4 linked regions of the Drosophila melanogaster genome follow. The protein of the gene in region 3 interacts with the protein of the main gene of each other region in a pairwise test. Each region holds a gene or a part of one and is shown on either strand. Other genes may lie near its edges.

What was found.
Region 1: the proteins of CG14744 (region 3) and CG5568 interact in a two-hybrid assay, tested with the Drosophila melanogaster proteins (one large-scale study listed by BioGRID).
Region 2: the proteins of CG14744 (region 3) and Npl4 interact in a two-hybrid assay, tested with the Drosophila melanogaster proteins (one large-scale study listed by BioGRID).
Region 4: the proteins of CG14744 (region 3) and Sox21b interact in a two-hybrid assay, tested with the Drosophila melanogaster proteins (one large-scale study listed by BioGRID).

Annotation. Positions count from the first base shown.
Region 1 is NT_037436.4:5,869,446-5,874,076, reverse strand, and holds CG5568 (uncharacterized protein), read right to left. Parts: upstream 2,577-4,631; 5' UTR 2,480-2,576; coding exon 2,312-2,479; intron 2,256-2,311; coding exon 1,744-2,255; intron 1,693-1,743; coding exon 735-1,692; 3' UTR 559-734; downstream 1-558. Other genes in the region: CG18586 (uncharacterized protein), read right to left, coding at 1-219, 277-444.
Region 2 is NT_033777.3:25,620,744-25,625,955, reverse strand, and holds the start of Npl4 (nuclear protein localization 4), read left to right. Parts: upstream 1-2,210; 5' UTR 2,211-2,376; coding exon 2,377-2,478; intron 2,479-2,550; coding exon 2,551-2,784; intron 2,785-2,846; coding exon 2,847-3,004; intron 3,005-3,065; coding exon 3,066-3,594; intron 3,595-3,654; coding exon 3,655-3,853; intron 3,854-3,915; coding exon 3,916-4,076; intron 4,077-4,117; exon of another isoform or gene 4,118-5,212. Other genes in the region: Ssadh (succinic semialdehyde dehydrogenase), read left to right, coding at 1-1,024. UniProt on the Drosophila melanogaster protein: May be part of a complex that binds ubiquitinated proteins and that is necessary for the export of misfolded proteins from the ER to the cytoplasm, where they are degraded by the proteasome.
Region 3 is NT_033778.4:8,705,709-8,711,079, reverse strand, and holds CG14744 (uncharacterized protein), read left to right. Parts: upstream 1-1,593; 5' UTR 1,594-1,711; coding exon 1,712-1,786; intron 1,787-1,847; coding exon 1,848-2,068; intron 2,069-2,127; coding exon 2,128-2,453; intron 2,454-2,509; coding exon 2,510-2,584; intron 2,585-2,653; coding exon 2,654-3,160; coding exon of another isoform or gene 3,161-3,164; intron 3,165-3,219; coding exon 3,220-3,359; intron 3,360-3,428; coding exon 3,429-3,663; intron 3,664-3,718; coding exon 3,719-4,002; 3' UTR 4,003-4,692; downstream 4,693-5,371. Other genes in the region: CG14743 (uncharacterized protein), read left to right, coding at 1-212, 399-682; PGRP-SC1a (peptidoglycan recognition protein SC1a), read right to left, coding at 760-1,317.
Region 4 is NT_037436.4:14,128,260-14,133,398, reverse strand, and holds the start of Sox21b (Sox21b), read left to right. Parts: upstream 1-2,074; 5' UTR 2,075-2,261; exon of another isoform or gene 2,262-2,841; intron 2,842-5,139.

The sequences.
Region 1 (4,631 bases), on a different chromosome or scaffold from region 3:
GGCGATGCATGCCTCTTCGTAGGCATTGTGAAGGGCGTGTAAGGGGGTTCCGTTGAAGAAGCATGCATATGCCACAGCTGATTGGTGAGTCGTGTGTCTGCCCATGACCCCCACTATATCAGTTTGCCCCAAGCCCATATTCCTCATATAACTAGCCACTCGCATCGCATTCATATGAAGATCTTCGCGGGTGAGTACGATGTCCTCCGTGATCGAGATCTGGTGGTTCAATGCAAATCTATACATTTCTCTGATTTCGAGAGAAAAGAAACTCACCTGGGCAATGAGTTTCGGATTGTTTACCATATCCCCAAAGATTATCTCTCCGATTGATAAGTTTGGCGAAAATAAACTTGGTGCTTCACGACCACTCCAGATCTTGAGTTTATCATCATAAGTGCACATCGCGTTCAATAGTTTTTGTTTTACTTCCATTTCAGCCATTATAAGAAAATGCTGAGTCGATTATTAGTTTTTAAGTAAATTATGCTATTATAACCCCTCGTATCAGCAATGCTATTTCACAGCAATAATGTACATAATTACGAAAGATCAGCTGTATTAACGATTTTGTAATCGATATGTGTTTCGGTATTATTTTACTCGGCGAATATGAAAAAATGCCTAAGATGGCGAACCTCTTAAAAAGCTTACGATAAATACAACAAATACAAATACAAATACAATAAAAATACAAATACAACATAAACATTACAATAATTAAATATGCAAAACTAATTCTTCTCCATAATTCGTAAAAACTCAGCTTTTGTGGCCGCTCTGTTTGCTTTTCTATTGCCACTCTGAATAATGTGATCCACAATCAAAGCTCCTCCATTCAACTGCTTAAATTTGGCAGGTATACGTTTCCTCACATACTCCACAACATCCTGGGCCTCTAGTTGGGTTCCTTGTTTCTTGACCACTGAAGCGGCTGCCTTATCTCCATAAACGGGATCCCAAATGCCAAAGACACAAGCTTCCACAACATTTGGCATTTCAGCGATGACACTTTCAATCTCGCTGGGGTAATACATGATGGTCTGATACTTGAGCATATCCTTCAAGCGATCGATAATGAACAAATATCCATCCTCGTCCATGTAGCCCAGGTCCCCGGTGTGAAACCAGTTCTCCGAGTCCTGCATCTTCTTCGTTTCTTCCGGATTCTTGTAGTAACCAGGCCATTTCTGACCATTATTGAAGCATATCTCGCCCACGACATTGGGTCCTTGTGCTTCACCCAGCTCGTTGACTATTTTGATTTGAATGCCTCTAACCGGACGACCCACTGAATTGGGTTTCTCATCGAAGTTGAAGTTTAGGCATCCGGGGCTGTTCAACTCGGTTAGTGTATAACTGAAATTTACACATTCGTTGCTTAGACGGCTGCGAATTTTGTTCTGGACTTCCAGTGAGCAGTTTGATCCGCCGTAAAAGAAATACTTCACGGATGATAGGTCCGCCGCATAGAATTCCGGGCAATTGGACAGCATCGCCAATTGCGAGGAACTTACGAACACCATCGATATTCGATACTTCTCAATTAGGCCACACAAATTGGCAGGATCAAAGTCACAATCTTCAATTATACTAGTCAAGCTAAACACGGCTGCATTGATGGTCATCGTGATGCCTGATGCCCAATCCAAAGTGTTTGGGTTATACTGAATAATCGAGCTATCCACGGGTCTGAAAATAATAAATTAGATGGGTGTATAAAATTAAGGTGGTAATATTTACAGAAAACTCCCAATAATCTGGTGACTATTGCTAATGGTGACTGCCTTTGGAAGGCCGGATGTTCCCGAAGAGCTAAGAATGGCCAGTAGTTGATCAGTACCGTCTTTCAGTCGCACTGGTCGAAAGTTCATCTCCACGGGAGTGGTTAAAATATCCTGAATTCTCAATATTCCTGCCGGGTGATTACGCATGGTTACTATTTGTACCTGAAGGCCTTTGGTGGCTGCTTGAACTTTCTCAAACTCATCTCCATCACAGAAGATTAAGCGTGGCTTGGTTATTCCGAACAGTCTCTCGATGGCAGATTGTTCGTATTCGGTGTGTAGGGCATGATAAGGAGTTCCATTAAAGAAACAGGCATAGGCCAGAGCAGTCAAGTGAGTGGTCAACCTGCCAATGACTCCCACAAAGTCACCTTGCTCCAGACCCAGTTTACGCATATAACTTGCCACCTTCATCGCGTTTGTCTGGATGTCTTTCCAGGTCAGCTCAGTGTTTTCTGTAACTGAAATCTAAAGGTTTTGTTTCGATGAATATAAATATTGTTTCTTGTAAATTTATTAAGTACCTGGGCAGTGAGCATAGCATTGCGCTCCATTTGTTGAAAGATAATTTCTCCAATGGACAAATCTGGTGAGAATAAACTGCGTTTTTCGCCACCACTCCAGATCTTTAAGTTTTCATCAAAGGTGTTTCTTGTCTTAAAGGGCGATTTTCCCGCTTGCAATTCACCCATTTTGTATAATACGTTAAGAATTAAAATGAAGGCTTATAATTTATATATCTCTCTAACTTCTGTGATAGTAATACCATAAAAACGAAAGTGATAGACGCAAGAACTCGAATTTAAAGCTTCAAGTTAGGTCTCACCATTATCAACTGACTTATTATATCGATATTTCTTTGAGCTAAGAAAGAGATACTAAAAGTTTTGTTCATAAGTGAATTTATTTCATCTACCAATCAATTATTCCGTCACTGTTGCCATACTAATCATATTTACTATTTATGTTTACTTAAGCAATGATTAATTGCCAAGACTGTTTTCATGACCGCTGATAATCCGATTTTGAGATTGCATCCCATAGTAAAATACTCAAAAAGATGTCGAAAAGTGTTTCAGCAAATGGTCAGCTGGGCTGGACTGGAATCTCCACCACCACCAACAATAAGATTATGATAATGGGCAGCCGTCAAAGAGAGGATTATGGGTTTTGGAAAACAAGTGGATTAAGGGGTTGACAATTGGGGGAATGTGCTGTCAGGAATTTGGCTTTTGCGTTTTGCATTTGTTTTTACGATTATGACCGACATGGATGGATCGGAATCGAAATCGTTCAGTTCTGCTCTGTCCCATTATGATGCGCTATTTTGAGTGACCCTGTCCTCCGCAAACATAGCGAAACTAATAAGTAAAATGTGTTTTTCAAACATTGATTTCGGCCAGTGCGTGGTGGGTGGTGTTTTAGGAAACACACACACACACACCCCCTTTTCGAGACGACAACATTTGTCATAAGGCCAAGACAGCCTCAACAGTTGTTGGCGATTATCATTTTGACAGTTGCTTCTCGCTTCGCTTTTGTTTCAGTTCCCTTGGCTGCGTTTTGGGCCTTGATTTATGCATTTTTAAGCGGTTCACTTATTGTTTCTGCGCACAAATATGGCCAAGTATCTCGGTATCTGCGAGATACAATCCCCTAGTCAGCCCTTGCCGCGTAATTTGTTGATTTATTGCAAGGCTGCCACTGCAGGCATCTTCATTAAGCAGCACTAGCTTCCGTTTTTTATCCGGCCACGCCCGTCGTCTTGCAGCGCCCACGATTCGCTTTCATTATCATTATCCTGCCGGCATTGTCCTTAGCCTCGTTTGTCATGCTCGGTGCGTCTGCTTAAGTTTTCGCACGCTCCAACGCCTCGGCTTCCTTGGCGCAGCCTTCAAGATGTGGAAATTGAATTGAAAACGTGCTGAAGCGTTAAATGCTCTTGTGTCAACTGCTTCCAATCCACCCAAACCTCCTCGCCCCCAAATGTCCTTCTGTCCATCACATTTCGTCCTGTGTGTGTGGCGACATATGAGAATTTGTAACCTCAGCACAAGCTGGTCCGAAGTTGCGGCTGCGTCGGCCGTTCTCCGCTCGCCCCCCAAAAAGTTCCCGGCCAAGTGGCAAGTGGCAAGCAAGCGGGCCATAATTAATTCCAAATTGCATCCGCAAAGGATTGCCAAGTTTCGCTGGCCAAAACTTATCGAAGGTACGATGCAGAGTGTGTTGCTTAAGGGATTACCGAAAATCTGCTTTTCAATATTGCTCATCTCTTTAAGAGCTAAGTAACTGTTCAGGAGCAAGAAAATTCTTACCCAATGTAATTTATTTGTAATTTTTTTTATATTTATAGCCTAAAAGTATGCTATTGCGTTTTATAAAGTTCCATATTTGGCCGGTAATGATGATGGCGCTATTCTACTTTGTACTAAAATTATATCGGCGACATCTAGCGAACATTGTGTGAAGTCGCAGCAGCTACGAAACGCCATCTGCTGGTCGAGCTGAGTTTCATAGCTATTAAACTATGTCAGTCAGAAACGTGTACAACAAATATATGCAAGGAAGTCTGTAGTCAAGCTGTCTAAAGTGTCTGTCTAGACAGCTGGTGGTTGCGGTTCAATCCCAACTTTGGTCAGCACATTTAGTTTGTTTTTGTTTTAAATTAAAATATTGTTTTTTTTATATACTTCATTCATATAAATTCATATATGGACATATGTACTCTGAAAAGGACTTAAACTAATACATGTACCAAAGTCTAAGATACGTTTTTGGCTACTCTTAAAAAAAAATAACAAGAAATTACAATCTCCGAAAATATTCATGAGTTTTCTGATCCCT
Region 2 (5,212 bases), on a different chromosome or scaffold from region 3:
GGTGGCGGCGCTGATTACGCCCTGGAACTTCCCGATGGCTATGATTACGAGGAAAGCAGGAGCCGCCCTGGCCGCAGGATGTACGGTCGTGGTGAAACCTTCAGAAGACACTCCTCTTACTGCCCTGGCTGTGGCCAAATTGGCAGTGGACGCTGGCATTCCAAAGGGTGTGATAAATGTGGTCACCACAAACAAAGCGGCTCCCATTGGCGATCTCTTCTGCAAGAGTCCCGATGTTAGGGGTATATCCTTCACGGGCTCCACTGAGGTGGGCAAACTGCTGTTCCGGAACTCTGCTGATGGCATCAAAAGGATTTGTCTCGAGCTCGGCGGCAATGCTCCGTTCATTGTCTTCGATTCGGCGGACATTGAAAAAGCAGTGGATGGCGCCATGGCCTCGAAGTTTAGGAATTGCGGACAGACCTGCGTCTCCGCCAATAGATTCTTTGTCCAGGACAGCGTCTACGATAAGTTTGTTGGGCAGCTGAAAAAACGCGTGGAAGCTTTGAAGATCGGAGATGGTCAGGGTTGCGATGTGCAAATCGGACCACTGATCAACGAGATGCAGTTCAACAAAGTCAGTGGCTTTGTGGAGGACGCCAGGTCGAAGAAGGCGAACATTATTCTGGGCGGACAGCCGTTGCCCGACAAGGGATCCCTTTTCTACGCACCCACAATTGTCACAGATGTGCCACCCTCGGCGCAACTCTACTCGGAGGAGGTCTTTGGTCCAGTGGTCTCCATCATACGGTTCCGAGACGAAGAAGAAGCGGTAAAGAAGGCAAACGACACCAGGAGAGGCCTGGCCGGTTACTTCTACAGCGAGAATCTGCAGCAGGTGTTCCGGGTGGCCAAGCGACTGGAGGTTGGCATGGTCGGCGTCAACGAAGGCATCATCTCCGCAGCAGAGGCTCCGTTTGGTGGCGTCAAGGAGTCCGGTGTCGGACGGGAGGGTTCCAAACACGGTATCGACGACTATGTGGACATCAAGTACATTTGCATGGGCAACCTCAAGTACGACTGAAGTCCGATGGAGGGATCACCCCCACTGCTTTCATACGCTGTCTTCCACTAGAATGCGATTGGTTTATTGTTGTCTAATTGTAGAATAACACGCCGCTATATTAATAAATGTGCACAAAGTCTACCTGAAGCTAATAGATAATTTCCCTTTTTTAAAATAGCCCGCCTCACCTTTCGATTAATTGGGATTGGTTAACAATCGCTTTAAATTGACAAGAAACCGATCATAGAGACATCGATATCCGGGAGTAATCGATTTTTCTCCACCTCTGGGCAGACTATCGCCATCCCCACAGCTGTGCGACAGAGACAGAGACAAAATTACAATGCCAAATGACAAAATTGTAAGTAAATTGTTGATAAAAAATTAAAAAGTGCATTTAGGGTGGAAACTAAGCGAATGTCTTATTGGTGAAGTGTGTGCAGTGAAATTGGTCAAGTGTTTCCCTATAGCTACCCACCAAAAAAGCCGGCAAACAATGTCGGTTTTCCAGTTCGCTGGCGTTTGTTGTTGTTGCCTAAATGTATGGAAAATATATTTAAAGTGCATTTCAGCCGGCAAAAGCGAAGCATATAATGCATAATGAACCCATTTGGAAGCACTCCCGGCAGTGCAAATCCACTGCAAGTCCCGAAATGCGGCCAAAGGTGCTGGCGGTGAAATTGAATGGTACCATGACTTGTAGATTTTCCACTGAAAGAGTGCAGTCTAGGCGGCAGTAGGACTGAGGGGAGTGTGCGGGGGTTTTGAGACCAAAAACCGATCCAAAAACCAAATAAATTATTAACAATTGTTGGCTGCAATCCGCCTGGGGGAAATGCATTTGAGGATATTTCTGTCTAATAAAGCAATTTCTGGTTGATAGGGTGCTACACTCAGAAAAATGTCTCTGCGTAAAATTAATTTTTGAAATATATGTTTTGTAAAATAAGAAAACTGCACATACCAGTAAATAGCACAACTTAAAATTTTAAATACAAATTTAATATAATTTTTTTGTTTTAAAACTGCATGCAGCTTGTCTTTCAAAATGCTGTTTTATTTTTTATTTAAAGCTCATACAATTACAGATCCGAATTTACATATACAGGCATTAGTTCTCTTTTTAACTATGCACTCATTTTGGCAACGAATTGCATTTGTTTTTAATTGCGATGCCAGATAAATTTCCGCAGTCAAGTTCGCGCCTTCATGACGTACAGTTCGAAACACTAAGCAAAAAGCCCTACAGGCTTTGGTAGCTAATAGCTACACTTGACAATCCCCCTTACCCAATCTACCACCCACCACCGCCCACACAAGAGCCCACCCAACCGCCCATCACCCAGTGACCCGTCCAGAAAGTCCAGAAAATGGCCTGTGCACCACTGCTGCTCGAGCAATTCATCTACAAGAAGCGCAATTTCGCCTACGCCTTTGTGCGCCATCGTCTGTTTGTGTTATGTAAACAATCGGTTGGATCAGAAATTGCCAAATTCACCTGTCCTAGTACTAATTAGAATCTGTTATTCATTTGTTAATTCCAGCTAATTCGCGTTCAGTCGGCGGAGGGCATCAAACGCATCGAGATCTCGCCCAAGTCAAATCTAAAGCATCTGTACGACAGCGTTCAGAATGCCCTGAAGGTGGATGGATTTGGTCTCTTCAAGGAGCGCAACTTCCTCACAGAGCTGCAGGCAAGTGGCTCCCAGCTGGTGGGGACTTCCTTGAGGCATGGCGACATGGTCTACTTAAAACAGATGGCTGGCACATCATCGCGCGTAAGTTGATCATATAGAGCAGAACGATCGGGGACTAACCTGCATTTTTCACCACTTCTCAGCGCACTAGCACCACTGTCCTGGACAGTCAGGCGTTCAAGACTAGCACCATTAGCAATCCAAACAGCGCTCGTCCATCCTTCAATGTGATCGAAGATGACGTGGACCAGGCTCTGAGCAAGGCTGATGGCACCATTAAGCGCGAACGTGATAGCAAGCTGTAGGCCTTGATTATACAATTAATTGTAAAATTAAACTGATCAACCTATAACTTTTTGTAGGTGCCACCACAATGCCAACGGCCGTTGCGTTCACTGCTCCGCACTGGAGCCCTATGATGAGTCCTATCTGAAGGAGCACAATATCAAGCACTTGTCCTTCCACTCGTACATACGAAAGCAGACATCCGGCATGGATCAGGGCAAGTACTTTGTCTTCGACGACATCAATTGCCGCATCAAGCCGGGATGTCGCGAGCATCCACCATGGCCCAAGGGCATCTGCTCCAAGTGCCAGCCGTCGGCCATTACGCTGAATCGTCAGACATATCGCCACGTGGACAACGTCATGTTCGAGAACACTAAGATCGTGGAGCGCTTCCTCAACTACTGGCGCACCACAGGACACCAGCGCATGGGATATCTGTATGGGACGTACGAGCAGCACACTGATGTTCCGTTGGGCATTCGGGCCAAGGTGGCTGCCATTTATGAGCCGCCACAAGAGTCTACCAGGGATTCGATCAATATTCAGCCGGATGAGTTCGCCGACGATGTGGATGCCGTAGCCAGTGCGCTGGGACTGAAGAAGGTTAGTTAGTTATAGACAGTAGCTATGTAGCATTAGTATTGACTTTTGTGACATTTATAGATTGGTTGGATTTTCACTGATCTCATCACGGACGATGCGAGTATCGGCACTGTCAAACAGATCCGTGGCATCGAGTCGCACTTTATTACGGCCCAGGAGTGCATCACAGCTGGCGAGCTGCAGAATCGACATCCAAATCCGTGTAAATATGCCTCCAATGGCGTCTTCGGCTCTAAGTTTGTGACCATTTGTGTAACAGGTAAGATTCACGATTTAATACTGCTTAATGAACTAGTACCAAAATAGTTTTTAACATTACAGGAGATAAAACCAAACAAGTGCACATGGAAGGCTATGCGGTTTCGGCTCAGTGCATGGCTCTGGTGCGCGATAATTGTCTGATACCCACTAAGGATGCGCCCGAGCTGGGCTACGTGCGTGAATCCACGGACAAGCAGTATGTTCCCGACGTTTTCTATAAGGTAAGTTAGAAAGTCTCCCCCCCATTCAAGCAAAATCAGTTATCGGGCAACCTTTATTGAATTACGTTCACACATTTACACAAACAACTTCCATATTTAGACATCAATACGAATGGGATTTGGTTTTTCAGTTTGATACATGCAAAGAAAATTTGGGTGTCAAGAGCAACGCCAATTCAAACATTTGACATCTAGAGGCTTACATTATCTTGGATTACGTTGATTTATTTATGGAACAACTTCATTATTTTCCTTATCCTTCTCGGTTTGTACTTCTCATCATTGCTCTGGGTTCTCCTTCAAACGTTCATTTTATTTTTCCTATACCTAGGACATTCATAAACAATGTTGTTATTTAGCGCATATTCAATTGTTAAAATAACTTTCTGAGCAACTGCCAAGCCAATCACAATTTTCCAGTTATTACCCTTATTTTTTTTTATTTATTTTTATTTTGCCAAACTGTTTTGTTCTATCTAATGCTTAATTGTGATACGCGTTTTTATTATTTTGGAAAATATAAGATTTCGATTTGATTTTTTTCTTTTCAATTGAAGTTAATCGTTGATTGATTGATTACTTAAAATAATTTAAAGTATAATAAGTCTACAAATTTCGTAAAATTGATTTCGATTTGTTCCTAAAAAGATTCTTTGCCTTCCTTTACATCGCTAAGGTCATATTATTACTTGATTCCCTTATTTTTATGGATGGCTATTCTTGGCGTTCATTATTTCATCCATCACAAACATAGCCTTAGTTATGATCACATCAAATGCATATTTAGACACCGAAAACTATCTCGTTTATTTACTTATTGCTAATAGGTTTATTTCATATTAATTATTAACTTGAATTGACATTAATTACATGTCAGCTATGTATTTGGATTTCACCTTACTCGTGGTTTCAAATTTTTAAGTTTTTATTGTAGCTAATTTACTATATCCAGGTATCGTCGTAGCGCTCCAACGCACATTTAGTGTCGTTTTCCTTAAGCTAAACTTATTTAAATACTCAAGGTCTGTTACAATTTCCACCTTGTCCATGAATCTGAAATGTTTATAGATCATTGATAGTCTTTTTTTTATTTAAAATAGCATCCAAAACGTTTCAATAAGTTGTAAATTGTTTAT
Region 3 (5,371 bases):
CACCGTGATTATATTCTTTTGGATTTGTGCCTGGGAAATGGATGCGCTGATATCCATAATTGGGGTCGTCTTTGATCTGGCCCCGTCCTACATGAGCATCACCTTCAACTCGGTGTCCGCTGCCACAGCTGACTTAATAGCCTACGCACATCTCGCCAAGCATGGATACGGAAAGATGGCTTTTGGAGCCATCATCGGTGGTTCTGTTTATAGTTAGTGGTAAAAGTCGATAATTGCGTGCTAGACTATCCAATGTCAATTTTCAGCATCTAAAATTGTTTTCAAATCTCAGAAAACCAGTTTCTCTAGGAATCATGCTCATCAATCATCAATCAATGATTTGGCTTCTGCTTTAAGGTCATTGTAGAGGTCATAAGTAAAACAGTCTTTTCCCGCAGGTTTGGCAGTCAATGTGGGCATCGAATTGGTCTTACAGAAGAAACTCAACTCCCGCGGTCAAGTAGTCTTGTATGGAGATGACGGTGTAACCATCTACATATTCCTGGTGATAACCATCACAACCACCTTGTGGTGGTGCCTCACCTTCAACTTTGTTGCCCGCCGATCCGCTGGGCTGTTCATGTGGTCCCTATTCGTGTTGTTCCTAGTTTACACTACGGCCATAGAGTTGCAGTGGGTCCATGGCTTCCAAGACAATATTCAGATTCGCCCGACTGCCTAATAAACCAATGTATTGCCAAGACAAAAAACACGATTATGGTGCGTTTAACTTTATTTAGCGTGGTTTGTGTCAAGGACCTAGCCAGACCAGTGGGACCAGCCGCGGATCTCGTTCCAGATGTGGGTGCCGGGGCATTCGGTGGCGCTGACCTGGCGATGACCGTACAGGATGTAGCCGGAGCTGAGCTGGCCACGGTTGACGGCGTCGTTGAGCAGCTGCTGGGCGGCGGAGATCATGTTCGGCTCCAGGGTGTCCCAGTTGTAGTTGCCCAGGAAGCTGATGCCGATGCTGTAGGGGTTCCACTCGGCGGCGTGGGCGCCCATGTTGTTCCAGCCACGCCCCTCGTACACGTTGCCGTCTCCGCCGATCAGGAAGTTGTAGCCGATGTCGGGCCAGCCCAGGGAGTCCATGTGGTAGTTCTGGACGCTCTGCAGCACGGCGTTGCACTGGGCACGGGTCTCGCAGTAGGAGCCGGCGGTGTGGTGGATGATGGCGTAGCTGAGGTAGTTGCCCAGGCCTACGGTCCATTTGGCGCCGCGACCACCCCACTCCGCCTTGGAGACGACATAGACGCCCTGGGCCATGTACTGGCTGCAGACCAGGACGGCGAGGAGGAGAGCCACTTTGGAAACCATGATTACCAGCTGTAATAGTTGACGATCGCTTGATGGAGATCGTGGGTCGCCGTGGCGCTTATATAGCATCAGTTATGCGTATGGGTTGCCATCTTATCTGGTGGTTCATGGCTAATTTACAGCCCTCGTCGATGGCACATGTTTAGGTTCGTATTAGGGGAAGACCCTTGGCGTGAGCCTCGTCACAATCGCAATCTTCGGGTGTTGATTTATTCAGCGTTTTATGAATGTGGTTCTTCTAAATAAATGCTTTATCAATGTGCTGGGGTCGACACATTGGCCGGTCACCTGAATGTCTTTGTAGAAAAAGTCAAGGAGTGTTGTTCGATTCTCGTCAGTTCTAAATTTAATTCTCAGCATATTCTTTTGACTTTGAGGGAAGAATTTGAATACAATGAGTGGGCGAACGAAAAGGACTAAATTTAACATAACAGAACTGGACCACGAATTTCACTACTTCATCAAGAATGTAAGATATTGTGAGAATACAGTGAGAAATTGGTGGCCATAGCATTTGTTGGCTCTTACAGATGAGTTGTAGGGCCGTGATGAGACTTCCGTACAACTATCGCTGCAGGATGGCCACCCAAGTGAGTGACTGCAAGCGCATTATAAACTTTTTCAATTACTTCAGGATGATGTACTGCTCAATTGACATCGATGACAAAGCAACAGAGGTCCTGTTCATGTTGCTGTTTGCCTTCATATGTGTGGCGTTTCTGTGGCTGATGTCCTTCAATATTGGTACCTAGTAAGTTTTTGGATAAAGTGCACATTCCTCTGATTGCTCATTCGAAATCCTGCATTAAGTTTTTCTCCAGTCCTCAAGATCATCTCGCTAAAGCTGCACATGAATGAGTACCTGGCAGGAGTTACCTTTCTGGCTTTTGGTAACTGCAGTCCAGAAATAATAGCTAATCTGATGCCCGTGAGGGCCGATGCACCCATCTTTACCATAACTGTGGGTAATACTCTGGCCATCATTCTGCTGAGTGGAGGTACAGTGTGTTTTCTGAGACCCTTTAGGATGAACGGACATTCCACTCTGCGAGATCTACTGTTTCTTCTCCTGGGTGTGGAGGTCCTGAGGTTTGTGATGATCAAGGAGGGAGCAGTGACCCTGGGAGAGGGTATAGGTAGGAATCTATTTTGGATTTGCCTCAACTCACTGATCTTTAAAACCTACTTTCAGTGCTCTTCTTAATTTACGTTGTTTACGTGGCTATTAATATAGCTGATTTGGCGTTGCTGCGGTACTACATCAGAAGTAAGGAATATTCCCCCAATTTTTTAATTACTCTAGTTATAATAGCAACTAATTACATTTACCATTCAGAACTTCGAAGAGAACTGGACTATTTGGAGGGCCTAACTCCTCCACCAATAACAGAAATAAATGCAAAGATAAGAAAGCTAATATCTTGGGAAGAGCAGGATGACATTGGGATTAAGGACACCACAAAGTACCGTCGGTCCAGAGACACGGGAAACCACTTCTCAAATATGACCAGTAGTGGCTACTTTGTAACCCCCATCCCAGAAAGACGATCCGAACACGTTGACTACGAGTTAAATCGCACAGCGCTCCATGACTCGGAGAATCCTAAAAACCTACAACTTTTCACGGAGTTCTTCCAGTCTCTCAATCCCGTTGATGCAGAGGCGTGGCAGCTGGGTGGGTGGAGCAATCGAATATACCTGATTGCCAGGTGCCCCCTGGTGTTCGTACTGCAGCTCTTCATACCCGTGGTGGACTACGAAAAGATCAAGCACGGCTGGAGTAAGCTGCTCAACTGCACGCAGATCGTGACGAATCCTTTCGTGGTCATTACCCTGGTGCACTGTAGGTATGCGGGAGTACATCAGAAGTGCATTTGATTCCTAAACCTCGCTGACCCTCAGCTGGGGTGTCCAGCGTCTACAAAACCTGGCACATAACCCTCGACTTCAGCATCTCCATGTGGTCGCCGTGCCTTACAGTCCCGCTAGCCATTGTGATCTTCCTGCACTCTCGAACGGATGTGCCGCCCAGCTATCACCACGTAAGAAGATCCAAAGCAGCACCACTGCGTGCTGATTAGACTCGAATGGGTATCAACCTTCCTTCCTAGCTGTTTATTATCCTCACGTTTTTCAGTTCCATGGTGACGCTCTGGCTCGCCGTCACAGAACTGGAAGTGCTCTCCGAGATTGTGGGCATCGTATTCAATCTGTCCGAGAGCTTCATGGCGGTCACCTTTGAGGCTGTCTCCAATGCCACTCCGGACATTATAGCCAATTACCAGCTGGCCTTGCAGGGCTATGGGCGGATGGCCTTCGCCGCCATAATAGGAGGTCCAGTTTTTGGTAAGCAAAAGTTATATTTTCCATTAATGGTTACCTGATGTATTCGATATTTCAGCGATTTTGGTTAGCATGAGCTTGGCCTTTATATTCAATCACAGAGTACGTGAAGTGGGCGCCAATTCGTGGGTGTACGGCGATCTGGGCGACAACTGCTACCTCTTTCTGGTAATAACCATTGTGACCACAATGTGGTGGAGCGTCACCTTCGATTTCCACGCTCGTAGATCCGCTGGAGTTTTCCTGTGGCTCGTTTACTTGCAGTTCCTCTTATATGCGGTCTGTGTGGAGTGGGATGTTGTTCATGAATTTTCCAGAGATCAGCACTTTAAGCCAATATGATTTGGAATATACATATGGTCTTGATATGAGATATGTTATTAAAAATGAAACAAGTGAAGGAAGCTCCTTAACCAGCATAGCTCCTTTCAATAATATTTAATCACGTATCGTTTACACTAAGTATATTTCATGGATTTATCTCAGCTTTGATCTGATCCCTGGTACTGCCAAATATGATTGCTTTGAAAATATACCAGCATAATTGGGATTTTGCGTCAGCAAAGGTACTGACTAATTAAGTGAATGAAGAGGAAATGCTTTCGAAAGGCGTCGGCAAAAGGCGAAACACTGACAGAGGTCCATTGAAATGCAGAAGGAGACTCCCTTGGCAATCTGTCCTGCCCCGACGCTCCACTTCTCCCTGCATTTTTCCACAGAATAAAAGCGTATTGCATAATGAAGGGAAACTGATGGCAACGAAACGATGGGGAAAGCTCCGTGTTAATTACGGTTAAAGTGTCTGGAGGAGGTTGGTGTCCCGTCAACTTTCATGGGACGGACGAGTGATTTGTGCGCCAAAGATACTCCAACTGATACTTCAGCTTTGTAGATAAACAAAGACAATCGATCAGAGAATGTTTTAACGGAGTGCAAAGATATTACTGCCAAATATATTCCTAGCTTAAACTTTAAAGTTATTTAACAAATATAGACTACTTGGATTTGTACAATAGTTGATGCCCAAGGTTGGGAAAATGTGAATATTTTTTTTGGAGTTTTCAAAGTTTACCCTGCACCGGAAGATATCTAAAGCATTCTTTCGATGCTTCGCCGGAGCAGTATTAATATCGACTGCAGATGTAGATTCCACTTGATTCCGGCCATTATGGCAACTGCAGCTGAAACATAACCATTGGATTTAAGTACAATTGCATAAACAAGAGCTGCTGGCTCAAGTGTAGGGAAAAAGACAAGGCGAAAGCCAACTTGCAGCTTCAACTACCAAGGCAAATGGCACGCAGAATTCCGGCAGCAATAAAAGCACTCAACTTCCTTCAGACTTCCCGTCTATCTGTCCATCCGTCCATCAGTCCGTCCGCCAGAACCTCTATCTGTGCACTTAATGTGACATGTTTTTGCAACAGCTTTGGTTTCTCCCCTCGCCGCCACTCGCCACTCGAGATTCCGAATCGTATTCCGATTCACCCAGCTTGGAAGGGCTCCGTGGCCATGAGATTTGATGCATTTTGCTTGTTACCAAATTGTTTTGCATTCTCCTTCACGTTCTTACATAGCCTCGCAGTCCCGAATCGAATGCAAAAACGGCAAAACGGAAGGAGAAGTCCTTTTTCTGTGCTATTGGCTTGATTCTGGCATGATTCGGTGTGAAAGTCATCAAATATTTAAAACCCAAGTGCGGAATCGCACC
Region 4 (5,139 bases), on a different chromosome or scaffold from region 3:
ATAACGAATTTTTTAGATTTTTACGAAGGGAACTTTAAAAAAAGGTGTATTTTATCATACTTTAACGAAAAACTAATTATCCATTTAACTTGAATATCTGACAAACCCCATTCAATAGCTAGCACAGCCATTTTAGGCATTCAGGTGAGTGCAGTGTATAATTACAATGGCTGACTAACTGAGGAAGCGAGACAGACAGAGCGAAAGAGAAGGGGACATAGCCAAAGACAATGGACACAACCAGTACATAGAGTGCGACAGGGAGCGGTAGAAGACGAGAGAGCGAGAGGGGAAAACCAGGTCCAAATAAATGGAACAGTTGCAGTCCATCCATCTATCCATCCAGCAAGCCCTTCGTCACTCACTCAGTTCGTCAAGTTGGGGCTGGAAAAATGTGCGCCATTGTTTCCAACTTGCAATTGTTTGCTGACAATTGGCAAAAAGGCAGCAAGTACTCCTCTTTTCTCAGACTTTTCCACTATCTCCCATGTAGGAAAGGCTTAGGTCATTAGAGTCAAATTAAATTAGAGTGCTAGTAGGTAGTTTCATCTTATAGCAGGTACACACTGTTTGCATTTGTCATTAGTTCGTTGTTAATTAAAACGAAGCCAAAGTGCCAGACGACAGAACTCGACACGACAGAGTGAATGGAAATCAAAATGCGCTAAAAACCGCCCTGAAACAATGGCAACACCTGCGTAATGCCCTGGCCCACCCAAAACCCTTTACACAAAAAGTCCTGGAACAAAGCCCGACCAAATGCGAATGGAGTTGGGACTCCGGAGTTACGAGCCGTTGTCCTGGCAACGCCACCACCACCAAAGCAAATTAACAAAACAATAATGTAGACACGAAAAATTGCAAAGCAATAGTAGGCACTTTGCAGGACTATATACTCCTAAAGTCCAGGTGTCATCATGCACAGATATAAAAAAATTAATTTTGGAAATGGTATTTCATGTGGGTCAAAACACTCAATCGTTAATTGTCATTCCAGTACAGAACGTGTTTTTTAGATCAAAATGTAGTACTATGTGCGAATCTACAACAGACACTACTTTAATCTTTGTCTGAGCCAAAGATAAAGTGTCCCAAAGTGGTCTGTCTGGACCAATTTTGGACTATGGCCACCTTGGTTAACATATCCACCATTTTGAGCTTGGGAATTGGCCAAAGGCGAATCGTAGTTGCGGGCCAGATGTCAGGCTCAGATCTCCACGGTTCAGCTCGATTCAAAAATAAATGTCCATTAAGATTAGTTGATTTTGCTTTCGATAGTTTGTTTTTCACCTTTTTTTTATTTTTTGGACGCTCTTTGCTGGTCTCTAAGCAAATGCGGTAAATAATCGAGAAACTCCCGAAAAGCTCACTCCCAATGGTGGCACCTCTTACCAGTAAAGAGACCGTCGTAGACCCCCACTTTACCCCCATTTTCCACTTGGCATTTCATGTAACACGAAACCTTCCCCAACCAGAAGCATTCCAATTGGAAACGCCCATCATGAGACTCGTTGTTTAGAGTGAAATGGCTATGGTGGCTTAGTAGCTACTCCGTTTATCTCGCTCGCACTCCCACGCAACACCTGCTCTGGTTGACCGCCCTGCCTCTGCATTCTGCATCCCTTTCTGTCTGACATTTTTTATCTCTGTTGCTCTCGTCTTTTTTTTCCTGACGTCGCAGTTCTTGGATTTTTTTTTATTCTTTCCTTCACGAAATGTCACCTGGTCGTTGGGCCTCTCTCTCACCAATACAACGATATTTTTGCTCTCAATTTTGAATTTGTTGTGGATGTAGTTTCTTTATAAACAGGCTTATAAAAAACATTTAACAAACCAATAAGAAAGAAAGCTCTCGGAAAAAGTATTAATCCAGAGCGAGAGAGAACACAAGCTTTTGCAGAGAGGATTTGCTGAGTATGTGTGTGTGTGCTTCTGTGGAGCGATACTGTTACATAGCAGCTGTCTCACCGCCCCACCTGCCACGCCCCCCGCCCCATTCGGTGACTGAAAGACTCGTTTTTTGGCTCGTGTGTTTTTGAAGAGAGCGCGCGCCAAGTTTTTAGTTACGCGTCGGAACGGATCCGTTGAATAGCCGCCAAAGCGCGCTTAGATGCAGCAACAGCCAACTTGGCCAAGAAGAGCCGATCAGCCAACAGCTAGCGACGGTTTTAGCCCCCTCACAAGAAACGCCAAGAAACAACCGATATTCGCAAAAAAAAAATACAAAGGATAATACTAAAAACATAAACAAACTGTTCTCGGTAAATATCCCAAAGTAAAAGTGAATCCTAAACAAACCAAACTTTTCTTTCCCATTTAACTAAATAATAAAACACAAACCAATTCAAAAAACAGTGCTCATATGATATCAACTTTCAACGCTCGTAAAGTGCTCATAGAAATGAAACAAAATACAAATCCAAATAAAGCAAAGCGATTTAAAAGTCTCATAAAGTTTTGAAATCCTAAGCTACTTATTTATCTTGCAAACTTCAAATCAAACAAGCTCCATTCTTTGTAGCATCAAAACATTGGATGCACCATAAGTATCTTATCGATGAATGGAAAGCAAACAACACACGTCAACATAAACTAGTGATATCCATTGGAAAAGTGTTCGTCAAACAGATTCTGTTACGAAACAGCTCAAGACCATAAAAGTCAACAAATTCAACATTTTATGGCAGTTCGGAAAGTGGAATTCATAAGCGACAAAAACAAACCATAAACACATATTATCCAAATAATTCGGTAGTATATTCCGCATATATGCTGCCATCGAATATTTGATTCCAATCGCCGGAAAACGGGAAATTTAAAGGAAATGCAGAACTCTTCGAGGTAACTTCATTGAAGCCAAAACATTATGGATTCTTTAGTTAGTTGTTTAACTTAGCTGCTTTGATTTTAATTAGCAAAACTACATATAAACACATTTACTTACATTTTTTTAGTAAAAGTAAAATATGATCTATGATAAAGTCTGATCCCATAGAACTGAGCATAAGTCTTAAAATTGTTTTCCAAGTTAATTGAAATTACTTCAAGTCAGAAAGCAGGTAAAAAATCAATTAAAAATCCCTTTAACCCTTTACAAATTTCATTTAATTCACCGCCGTTCAGAACGCAATTTGAACAACTTTTCTTGACCATCAATTAGGTAAACACGGAGAGAGCTCCACATAATGAGTCTGAGTGCGTCAGATACAAGGGGAATCAACAGATTTTATTGTTTGGATAATTTCAGGATTTTCCTCTTTTCATTTTCTGCGAAATCATTGTCGGAATCTTTATGCCCCACTCGAGGTGTGTTTACTTTTGCTTTCGATCTTCCACTTGAATTAAAGCAAGCTCGTTTTCTTTCTCTGAGGGGCATTCAAAGTTGTTTGGTTAACTTAATTTCGAAATATAAATGAAAACCGACTCAAGGTATGTGAAAAGCCGCAATGAAAAGAGAGTCAAAAGCACCAGAGAATTTGAAATGACGCAATTAGAGCAAATAATAGTAAAAGAAATAGGGAAAAACAACGTATGTTTATTAATATATTTACACAAAATGTGACAACAATTGAATTTAATGTGACGCGCCCCCATCATATAGAAATCGACTTTGGACCAGCACACAAAAAACCCAATTGTGCAAACAGAGTTTTCTGAAATTATTTTGCGCACCAGATGTCAATCGAATATTTTTACGCCATTCTTTTGGCCATTGTGTTCGCTTTATAAATTTGCTCAAAAAAACAGGCATAATCCAAAGAAGAGTATGAAAAAATTCTAATTAATACCCGGCTGTATCAGCACACATATGGTTAGCTGACTTTGTATCGGTTCTTTTTCTTTTCGATAGCCCTTTGGATAGCCCTTGGCACAAACTTGACACTAAACCTTGGAGGAGCAGGGTATGTGGTTATCGAGACACTGGCACGTTTACGAGGCGATTGTTGCGAGTGTGAAAGTTCTTAATTACAAACATTAGGGGGCCCAGCGACTTAGGGCCCTGAGAAGATCCGATCGCAGCGGGCGGGCAAGACGACACTTTTGAATGGAGGGTCTGCTGGGACCGAAAACCCGGTGCGTATCCGCGATACATTTCAACACAAAGTGGAGACACTTAAAGCTCTACCTGTGTTGAAGACGAGGTGGAAGACTGCAGACCGCGAGACTCCTCTTCGCCGCTAAAGAATGAGCAGAAGAATATGGCTGGGGGAGAGATCTCGGGCTCAGCATGTGGCTAAGCCGATCATAATTCTTGTTTGACATACCAACAAACGGATGAACAAATGAACGCGAAGCAGCAACAACACGGCCAACTTGGTCGGGGGTTACGAGTGGATCTATATGGCCCCCGAAACTCAAGTGGCCAGCGGGTTAATTTTACTCCTACTGCGATACGATACGAAGTCCGAAACAGAAGAACGGCTTCAGCACTCGATTTCCATGAGAAAGAGTCGGACATAAGGTGCCTCTGGTGGGTTATCTATTAAGGCTACTAGATTAACACCCTGAGAAGACCCACGCTTTTGGGTTTAACGGTTACATTTCCGTTACAAATAAATATCGGAGCTGCATTTCGGTCTGCGTGGAGGTGCAGCGAATCAAAAGGAGGAGCTGGCATATTCACAGCAAATAAAAATATCTGGAGTGCAATTTGTGCACAGCTGGTGGTGCAACCGTCGATTCGGATGGTGGCCCTGTGGTGCAACTGATACTGCAACTGCGACACTGCACCACATCGGAACAAGTGTTATGTCCACATAGTCATTTTCGGTTTTATTGCCATTTCAATTACTAGAATAATCACAAAATTAAATTAGTTCGAAAATAAAAATCCAAACATAAATGCAACTTCATATCAATTGATATATGCGTAGTGTTTTCAAAATATGAAATTTAGCGTATACCTTGAGTGGAGGCACAAATAAACATAATCAATTCATTTTTCTCAGTGTATTCTGCCAATTCGCAACATAAAAAGGAGGAGCAAAAATATGGAGAGCAACTTGACAACACAGAAATTTGTTTGCACTCCATAAGGATTACAAATATGCGTGTCCCTTTGCTAACCGCTCCCCGTTCCCAGCTCCCCCTTTTCTTTTAATATAAATTTCATGCTTAATACGCATGCTTGGGCAATTT